3 linked regions of the Yarrowia lipolytica genome follow. The protein of the gene in region 1 interacts with the protein of each later gene in a pairwise test. Links are inferred from orthologs where the notes say so. Each region holds a gene or a part of one and is shown on either strand. Other genes may lie near its edges. The genes, in order: YALI1_E19201g, YALI1_B24292g and YALI1_F02697g.

What was found.
Region 2: the proteins of YALI1_E19201g (region 1) and YALI1_B24292g interact in binary tests that used the Saccharomyces cerevisiae proteins (3 or more experiments, as listed by UniProt). The link is inferred for Yarrowia lipolytica from reciprocal best matches to the Saccharomyces cerevisiae genes CDC14 and CKA2.
Region 3: the proteins of YALI1_E19201g (region 1) and YALI1_F02697g interact in binary tests that used the Saccharomyces cerevisiae proteins (3 or more experiments, as listed by UniProt). The link is inferred for Yarrowia lipolytica from reciprocal best matches to the Saccharomyces cerevisiae genes CDC14 and SWE1.

What each region holds. Positions count from the first base shown.
Region 1 is NC_090774.1:1,918,684-1,922,441, reverse strand, and holds YALI1_E19201g (uncharacterized protein), read right to left. Parts: upstream 2,298-3,758; coding exon 603-2,297; downstream 1-602. UniProt on the Saccharomyces cerevisiae protein: Protein phosphatase which antagonizes mitotic cyclin-dependent kinase CDC28, the inactivation of which is essential for exit from mitosis. To access its substrates, is released from nucleolar sequestration during mitosis.
Region 2 is NC_090771.1:2,427,946-2,430,850, forward strand, and holds YALI1_B24292g (uncharacterized protein), read left to right. Parts: upstream 1-1,307; coding exon 1,308-2,336; downstream 2,337-2,905. Other genes in the region: YALI1_B24280g (uncharacterized protein), read right to left, coding at 1-36. UniProt on the Saccharomyces cerevisiae protein: Catalytic subunit of a constitutively active serine/threonine-protein kinase complex that phosphorylates a large number of substrates containing acidic residues C-terminal to the phosphorylated serine or threonine.
Region 3 is NC_090775.1:267,077-270,834, reverse strand, and holds the start of YALI1_F02697g (uncharacterized protein), read left to right. Parts: upstream 1-1,107; coding exon 1,108-3,758. Other genes in the region: YALI1_F02701g (uncharacterized protein), read left to right, coding at 606-621, 675-1,075. UniProt on the Saccharomyces cerevisiae protein: Protein kinase that acts as a negative regulator of entry into mitosis (G2 to M transition) by phosphorylating and inhibiting the mitosis-promoting cyclin B-bound CDC28 at 'Tyr-19'.

The sequences.
Region 1 (3,758 bases):
CTCTTGGGTCCGCAGAGTCAGGTACTTTCGCTACGAGTATTGTACAGTACTTGTACTCGTACTTGATGCCGACTTCCTATCCTTTTCCTTCGATCAGGTTGACCGTCTCGTCGAGCACGAGAACACACATGCCCCTGAACACGCCCTTCTCCAAAGGCCGGGTCTTAGCCGAACAGCATGAGAACGATCTGAAAAGATCTGAATGACTCGGCGTTGATCTCATTCAACCACAGTATCTGGCTGAGAAGGAGGTCCGGGAGACGAAGAAGCGAGACAATGACTACTAAAAGTTGTTCGTGGCATGGAGATCCACACTTCCACAGAACACGAGTACTCGTAGGTATCGCACTCTTAGTGTACCACTACACGACCATTCCATTACGTGATTCATTATTAATCCATACATACTGTTCCATGCATATAACTGTGGTATCTGTTAGCGTGGGATGCCATTCTAGTGTGTCCGATAGCTGTTCTGGGTGAGAGGGGGGTTAATGACAAAGTGATCTGATCGGGTCATGTGATTGGGTCATTTGAATGGGTCATGTGACCAAGTCATCTCAGTGGATAAATCATGCAGTCATCTAAATACCGCCAAATCTCTACGACCTCTTGGTTCTGGAGACCTTTCTCACGCCGGTCTCGCCACTGACTTGTCGCACCGATGCCTGGCGCCGGGATGCGCTCCGAACCCTCAATGGTGACTTTTTCATGTCGTTCTCCTGGTCGAAGTCCAGCTGTTTGGAGGGCGACCGCAGCTGCTGCTGGTGCGAGGGTCGTCGGGAGGGCGAATGAGAGGCCGTGACAATCAGCGAGCCCTCTACGTCCTCGCAGACTGACACAGACACGGACCGCGACGGCTGACGCGACGGCATTTGTCTGCTGCTGACCACTCGTCGCGCCGAGGCGATCGAGCCTTCTCGTTCCTCGTCCGAGTTGTAGACGGTGTCATGGGAAGTGGAAATGTACCGTTTGGGACGGATGGCGGAAATGCCTACACTTCCAGATCGATGGGCCGGACTGGGGGAGTTTTTGCGGGGCTGTCCGGGAGTAGGGGCCGGCAGAATCGAGTTGCAATGGTCCATGTCTCCGAGAATTGATCGTTCGGGTGTTTTTGGCGGGGGGGTTGACGGCAGAATGGAGTCATGGGTTACTGCGGAGGCTCCCAGAGAGCCCAATTGTTCCTCCTTGCGCCGGATCTGGTCCTGGAGAGCGCTCAATTGTTGTCTCAATTTGCACTGTTGGTCGGCAATGGGCACCAGGGGTCGCAGGTTGGCCAGCTTGTAGCTGGGGGTATCGCTGACGACCATGGTTCGTTTCCAGTCTCTGAACTCGTTCTGGTGGAGGTAGAGCCAGTGTTGTTGGGGGCCCACCACCATTCCTGGCCGCAGAAACCGCATGTAGGCAATACATTCGGCGGCGGTGAAGCCGTAGGAGTAGATGAGATGGGCGCCAATCAGACACCCCGTGCGGCCCAGGCCGGCCTTGCAATGAACGGCGATCTTGCCGCCCTGTTCGATGATGCATTCAGCCGCGCCAACAAACTTTTTGACCATGTCCATGGTGGGCACGGTGCCATCGTCGAAGATCATGTCCACGTGCTTGATTCCGCGTTGCTCGAACTGACGAGCGTCGTACAGAATCGAGTTGAGACGCACCACCAGCTGCACGTTGTGGGTCTCAAAGTAGTCGAGCACGTTGTTGAAGGCGTGGTCCAGCGGGGTGAGAAAGTCCTCCTGCTGCGGTGACGCAAACGCAATGTAATGAGGAGGCAGCTCGTTGAAGTCGCCCTGGTCCACTTTTTCATACTGCTCGTACTCGTCGAGATTGAAGTGGCGCAGGTCCAAAAAGCCCTTTTCCTTGGCCCGCCAGCACCCGTAGACCACGTCCTGGATGGTGAGAATGAAGTCAGCAGTCGAGTAGCCGGCGTCGCGGAACGGCATGAACGGAGGCTCCGCCTGTGCAATCGGTGCCAATGCCAAATGAGGAGGCCACGACTGGATCAACACCATGTAACAACACAGAAGACAGGCGGCATTGGCTCGGTATCGGGGATCAGGATACGAGTAGAACATGACCGCCTTGTCCTCGTTCTCCGCCAGAATCTCGTGAAGAGCAACCGCAAATCGGTACAGATGACCGGCATTCAGAGGCCCGAAATCCAGATGAAACGGGTTGTAGGGAAGAGCATCGTCGACCGTGAAGTAGACGGTCGTCTCGGTGTCCTTGGGGGTGTGCGCATATGCTCCGAGATAGACCCGGTCCTTGAGGAACTCGATTGGTTCCACTTTTTTCATCGTAGTGTGGAGTGGAGGAATGAAGGTGGTGAAGGTGTTGTAGTTGGGGTGACCTAGATGGTGTAATGGTGACACTGGCAATGTAGTGGTGACACTGGCAATGTGGTGGGGACGACAAGGACAAGGTGATGGGCACGCACAAAAATGTAATGGTGCAAACGTTCGCTTCTATCGCACAAACAACTCCACAGACTCTGCTCAAGAAGATCTCAAAAACATCTACACATATACTTGTTAGTGAACTGATAAGGTTCGGGCTTGTTTATGTTTGGGACGAGCCGTATTGGGAAGCCCTAACCCTATAAATAAAACTGTGGGTCTGTGGGACGATTGACTGGATATTTTTCGATTCTGAAAAGTGCATTTTGTAGCATGAAATGAGTGAATTACAATGGTAGTTTTATATTAATAATAATCCCAACACAGCGTCAATAAAATGTGATTGAAATTTGAAACTACACAAACACATTTAGACCCAAACTATATTTTGTATAAATACAAACAGTGTCAAGATCAAAAAAAAATCAGGAGGTTGATGACAAAGCCCAAATGGGGGCTTGATCACTCAACTTAGTCATCGTATCAAGGGAGTATGTTCAATTACGTAACGCCGTCTTACTAACTCCCTTTCCAGCAGACCAATTGACTGTCTGGAAATCCAACTCGTCTTAATCACACTCGTGTTATGGTTATGACCATTATGGTTCCCCGTTGAACGCTATGTACCGAGACATGGGCCCGTTGCTAGGTGGATCCGGTGTTGAGTAAGCGCTTAGCAGTGAGCGGGAGAGCAGGGTCACGTGATAGATATAAAACCCGTGAGTAAATTCTTTAGTTACATAACTCCCACCCCTCTCGCGTCCTGTGACTAATCATTTCAGTCGCTCATTACCTCTGCCACACAGACAGCCTGCCTCGCATTGTTTGTTTTGACCCCTATTTACAATTATACATGGTCCAAACAGTGCAAACAGTGCAACGGGGGGTCTCCAGAATGCTGACTAAGGACGACAACACAATTTCAAAGACTGATTCAGAGTCAGCTGAATAAGGCAAAAATAATGACATTCTATTTCAAACAGTTTTCAAATTGTCCAATTTTCCCCTCGAAATTTCGACCTTTATTATTTAAAGTTCATTACACATGATCAATGCATCTAAGACGCAGTAGAGATGGGGGAGCAGTGGGTGATGGTGGGGGTCACGTGACCAGCCAGTCAGTCACGTGAGATACAGGAAGAAGCGGTGAAGGGGGTGGTCATGTGACTGGTCACACTTAAATTACGTCATCTAAGGAGAAGGACGCGCACACAACTCGTATGGTTGAAGGGTGCCGGGGAGCTTTTTCTGTTTTTTTTTTTTGTTTGGTCATGTGATCAGTCACGTGAGACAAAAACAGGTGCTGCTCTCCACACATGTGATTCTGCAGTACCCTTGTCAGTGCCGCTTAGTAAGTCTCGT
Region 2 (2,905 bases), on another chromosome or scaffold:
TAAATACCCTTTCCAGACTTGTTTGAGCTCAGACATGTTTTGTGGTGAGAGTATATGTGATTAATAGTGAGGTTTCAAAACTTTGGCTGCATTGGTGGGCTGTAATGGGGTTTCTGAGGGTGCTGTGAGGGGTGTTGACCGTGTCTGATATTGGATGGACGATTTTGAGTTGTATGCATGGTGAAGATTTTGGGTTATTGGTATGGGGAGGAAGTGGGCGAGGTTTGAAGATGTTGCGAAAGCCTGAGAAGAATGAAAATTTGATGACCATGGCTCTGGCGTACCATAAGGATTTAGTGAAGTTTCTAGCCTGTTTGGTAGCTTCAATAGCTCATGGTGAATCTCTTATCATGACGTCTCTATAACTTTGTAGGGAATAAGGTGACAGCCGCCACTGGGTTGATGGGTCTGAGGACAGTAGCACAGCGAGCTTCAACAGACTTACCAGGCAGTTATATGGATGTTTCAGTATACCATTCTGCTAAAAATGAACAGCTGAACATCATTGTATTGTATTTTTTCTCTGTGACTCTATATTTGGTGGAATCCCCTTCTATAAAGCGGATCGGGGGTCTTAAAGAAGTGGCCACATTTGTACTGGTAAGCAGGAGCCTTTATAGCTGTATTGTAACATCTACCTGACTTATGTGCGGCGAGTCAACGTTCTTCCTATCATACTATACAGTACCAGCTCTGAGCCATATGTCTGAAAAATGAAAAACAACCCCGAAAACCTTGAATAAGTCGTCAAGTAATGGGTCCCGATTGTCCAAGTAACCAAGCCACATTTAAAGAAGCTCAGAAGTGCATACGACTGTAGTCAGATCTATTTTGGGATATTTATTAGTAAGCATTAGCAAACCTAAGCCAACATTAATAGGCAGTCTAGAGAAGTTACATCTGATGCCAATGACCATCAGCTTCACCAAACGTCTGTGTTTTGAGGTGCCGCTCGTACGGAACAGGGACACGACTCTCCAACATCTCTCGATAATTTGACTCTTAACCCCAACAGTCACTATCTGCGGCTGAACCCTAAGTGAAATAACGGGGTATAATATAGCACTCTGTGGACGACGTAGACGAGGAACATACGAGGAAACGTGGCGATGGATTCTCCTCATCTTCGTGAATCTTTTAATACCCTAACCTCCCACACACCTCTCCCACAACCTCCTCCTTTTATGAGACCCTCTGACCACTCCTCCCAACGATAGAGTTTGGGTGCATGATAGTGATAAAAAAAACACCCCTTGGCCAGAGTCATCCATCTGCTCAAACAGACACAGAAAGACCCGACATCCAACATGAGCATGGAACCGCGATCGAAAAACCCGTACTCGGTTGCGCGGGTATTTGCGGACGTCAACGCCAAAATGCCCCAGCAGTACTGGGACTACGATAACCTCACGATAACCTGGGGCAACATTGACAACTACGAAATCTACCGCAAAATCGGCCGGGGCAAGTACTCGGAGGCATTTCAGGGCGTTTGTGTGGTCAACAAGCAGCAGTGTGTCATCAAGGTGTTGAAGCCCGTGAAAAAGAAGAAGATTAAGCGAGAAATCAAGATTCTACAGAACGTGGCGGCTGGCCCTAACATTGTGTCTCTTCTGGACGTGGTGCGTGATCCAGTCAACAAAACTCCCTCTCTCATCTTTGAGTACGTGGAGAATGTCGACTTCCGACAGGTGTTCCCCAAGTTCAAGGACTACGACATCCGATACTACATCTACCAGGTGCTGGTGGCCCTGGAGTACTCCCACTCCAAGGGAATCATGCACAGAGACGTTAAGCCCCATAACATCATGTACGACCCTCGACGGGGCAAGGTGCGACTCATCGACTGGGGTCTGGCCGAGTTCTATCACTCGGGCACCTATTATAACGTCCGAGTGGCGTCTCGATGCTACAAGGGCCCCGAGCTGCTATACGACCTGCAACAGTACGACTATTCGCTGGATCTGTGGTCGCTGGGCTGCACTCTGGCCGGCATCATCTTCCGAAAGGACCCCTTTTTCCACGGCTCGTCCAACCAGAACCAGCTGGTGGAGATTGCCAAGGTGCTGGGTACGTCGGACATGTACAAGTGTCTGACCAAGTACGGCCTCAAGCTGCCCGACATTTACAACGACATTCTCGGCACATACCCCCGACAGCCGTGGGAGAAGTTTGTCACCAGTGCCACCCAGGCCATCGCTAACCCCACTGCCATTGACTTTCTGGACAAGATTCTGAGATACGACCATCAGGAGAGACTGACGGCCCGGGAGGCCATGGACCACGAGTACTTTGACCCGGTCAGGGACGACTTGCGAAGTATTAATGCTCAGTAGAGAGGGTAATGGGGAGGAGATCGGACGTGTACACAACACCCAAGTTTAACTGCATTGTATTCTAATGGCATGTATGATATGAGTAATGACAAGAGAATGAGCCCCTACAGTAGTAATCGAGTTAAGATAAGCATAAATAATAATATCTCAGTTGACCTTTCACCATGCTTGTATATACTGTAGATGCTGAGTCACCTCCAAGAAGCTTCGGAGTTACGATATTGTAGCTTTATCCTCGAGTACGAGAGGCACATACACGAGATATCGCGTTCTACGCTATGATCAACTGCTGAAATCTAACAATTTACAGGTATTCAGCAAAATCCCCAGCCCTAATATTCTCAAATTGACTTCCGAGATGTTTTCTTTTTACCTCGCACTGTCTCATCAGTCTGCCTAATCCAAGGCTTATATGGCGTAAGCGAAAGTCTAAGGTGGAAAAAAATAGAGTACAATTGGTGAGAAAAGGAATGTCGAAGGGGAAATATTAATGACAGACTTGGGACTGTCAACATTTGTTGTTTTTGCAGTGTATGTGCTATGTATAGAAGGTCCGTCACTTGAGATCG
Region 3 (3,758 bases), on another chromosome or scaffold:
TACTGATAATTTTTGCGTCTACGATTCGTATCTTGATGCATACTATTGTATCGTATTGTACTCATAGCGCAGTTTTGGAACGCGTCTGATTGAAAAAAGTACAATGGGTGCCAAGACCCCTGAATGACAATACGTAATAATAAGGCCAGTGTTCAAATACAGCGATGAAATTGGCGGTACAAATAGGACGAGTTTGACATGTGTTGACGGTGGAGAACGAGCCGTAGGGAGAACATCTGACGAGTAAATTCCTCTTTCTTTTTCCTTCATTCCGTCGATGTCTCTACAAGTGCGGTTCTTCCTTCCACTTGGACCCGTTCACAGATTCACCTCTTCCTCAACTTACTGTACCTACGGAACTCTCCCAACTCTACACGCGTTTACCACCGTGCACTGGGCAATGGTGGCCCGGGCAGAAACAAGCCCGCCAGAATGGAACCATAATTATCTCCCATAATATTCACCTCCGGGTTGCTTCTGGGCTGTCCGTCCGGCTTCACTGTCTTACACCCATCTTCAGAACCGACGAGCCCCCACACCTTCTGTTTTGATGTGTGTGTGTGTGCTCGCTCGGATAGGCTTCTAGGTTTCGCGCTCTGAGGGTGATGGACGCATGCGCCTGTTTGTTTGCCCCCATCAGACCGCTACCCTGGGCCATGCATAGACTTTGGGAGTGACGCACCGCTCCGCACATCATCTCTGGAGACAGACCCGTCCCAATCTCCCCCAACCCAACACCACCATTGTTCGCGTCTCCAAACCCCAGAGGCACCCCCCAAGTGCTCACCTACCGTTCGCGCCACCCACACGACACGTCACACGCAAAGCAGCAGGACCGACCGAGCAACAGGTCTGCGTTTGTGACACGACTGGACCTCCAGAAAAGTTTTGCATTTCTTTGCACACGCTCCTTTTTCTACATTCCTCACCCACAATCGCATCAACTAATTTTTTTTGGGGGAAAAACGCCACCAGACGCGATACACAAGGACGAGACAGACGACACGACAAGAAACAGACGACACAACCTGACCGGAATTACAACTACCGCCAAACTACAACACTCACACCGTGATCGACGCGTCAACACGACATACCCATACTCACATGTACATGAGCTCGGCCACCCCCTCGGCCTCCCCGTCGCCTCGCCGGCGCAAACACCGCCCCGACTCGGTGGCACGCTCCTCCATACCGTCGCTGTCCAAGGTGAAGCTCAAAAAGAGTAAGCCCAACACGCCACAGCTGTCACCGTCGCTGTCGCTTGACGACTCAGCGTCAGACGCCCTTATCAACCTCTCCATCCACCGCAACAACACGGTGGCAAATCTCGACGACCTACCGCCAGACCTCTCGCCGTGCCCCAGTCCCAGCAAGCAGCGCGCCTCGGAGCCCCCCACGGTGTACTCGTCAACCATGCAGCCCCTAAGACGCTCCAAGGGCCTCTACAACCTCGAAGAGGCGTCCAACCTGTCGCTCGAAGATATCAACATGGACAGCAGCCCCAGCAGGAGCCACCGACCGCGCCACTCGATGATACTCCATGATTCTGACCCCAATTCGCCGGTCAAGGCGCCTCCATTCAAAAAGGCCGCCATCCAGCAAGAGAATGTGCCTCCTGGAGGAGGAGGAGAACGACGATTGTCAGATAACCCGCCCACGATCCATCTCATGTCGTCGTCGGTCGAATCATCGCCACCAACACCAACGCATCACCCCCACCACTCGCACCCGCACCCTCATCATCCTCAACCCCATTTGCATCCTCTCGTCAAAACAAAGATAGCTGACGTGGAACACAAGGAGTACGGCACTCCAGACTCGTTCCGGTTCGTCAAACCGCTGCAGACTGCGTTCATGAGCACGGGCTTGCTTTCGAAACGAACGCGCAACCTGCCCAACTCATCTTCTGGCCACTCTCTCGTGCCTCCAGATACGCCCTGCAAGAAACCCAGCGGCAGTTCGAGCTTGCAGGACGTGCACGGACTCAGAGGAGACGGAAACACACCCCGGCCCTTCACCAGCAGTGTCTCCCACGAGGGTGTCAGCATGCTCGGAAGCAGTCACAGGTCTGCGTCCTCCGGTAGAGCTCACAGAGTGCCCCTCACAATCAACACCACCGGCCACCAGAATATCCCCTCAGGCCCTCCAAGCGGGCTGCGTGATTCAGCATCACGCTTTGCATTCGACCTGCGTTCGGCAGTCTCCTCGTTCATGGACGACGTTCCCTCCACGCCTACGAAGCCCCTGGAGGAGAGTGAGTCGTTTCCATCCGTCCAGCGAACTCTCACTACTAACAACCATGATGACAGCAACGGCAGCAGCAGCAATAACAGCAGCACGAATCTGGGACCCTACAGACGAGCGTCTTACATTGGTTCTTTGACATCCTTGTCTTCTCTGGCCAAGGCAAGTCACCAGCGGTCAGATGGGTCGCAGATCACCATTACCCCTGGGACTATCACTCGTCAGGCCTCGTCCATCATGGAACCAGAGACCCCTCTTGGAAATGGAGACAATCCCTTTAACTCGCCCAACTTCTCCAGTGATCCTACCTTTGCAGATCCCCGGACACCGGCCAAACGGTCTTCCCAGGACCAATCTGCTGAGAACATGATTGCTGGCGAGTCGTGGCTTAGTCAAAAGTTTGACAGCGTCTCTCTGATTGGATCTGGCGAGTTTTCATCCGTTTACACGGTCACCGAGCGCGTTAAGATGCCTGCGGGTTCCTCGGTCATCCTCACGCCGCCCAACCGTTACGCTGTGAAGAAGATGAAGTACCCCTTTGCCGGCCCCAAGGCTCGTGCTCGACGAATGGAGGAGGTCGAAGTTCTTCGTAAGCTGACCGAGTCGAAACGTGACGAAGACGGGCGCGATTTCATTGTCCAGCTTGTCGACTCGTGGGAGTACCATGGATTCCTGTTCATCATGACTGAGTACTGCGAAAACGGCAGTCTGGATGTTTTTCTGGCTGAAAACGGCCGAATCGCGCGTCTGGACGACTGGCGAGTGTGGAAGATTCTCGTGGAACTTGCCCTCGGTATCCGGTACATCCACAACGAGGGCTTTATGCATCTGGACATCAAGCCAGCCAACGTGTTCATCACTTTTGAGGGCACTCTCAAGATTGGCGATTTTGGAATGGCAACAACATGGCCAGCAGCTCGGGGAATCGAGCGGGAGGGAGACCGGGAGTACATCGCTCCCGAGGTGCTGAGTCGACAGGAGTACGACAAGCCTGCGGATATCTTTTCGTTTGGTCTGATTATTCTGGAGATTGCTGCCAACGTGGTTTTGCCCGATAACGGCATCCACTGGCAGAAGCTACGGTCTGGCGACTTGACCGATGCTGGTCGGCTCTCTTCTGGCGACCTGGCTGGATTTGATCATCAGTTTGGAGAGCCTACTTCTTCCCAGGGCCAAGAACGAGACGCGATTGAGTGCGGGAGCAAGTCGTACGAGGAGGATGGGGGAGTGCTGAGTCCATCGTGCATGCCTCCGTTTGACCACCACGGTATCCACTCGTCTTCTCTCCGAAGCTGCACCACGGCTAACACCACCTCTTCTAGCGGTGTAAGCACCGGTTCTTCCAGGTCTGGCACTGCTGGAAACGGTGGAGCCAGCACGGGCAACACTTCCAGCTCGACAAACATGCATCCCCCAGTGATTAGGCGAAGCTCTGCGGCCCCCGACTGGGCTCCTTTGTTCCTCACCCAGGATCTCGGTATTCTGGATTCATTGGTGTCTTGGATGCTGAC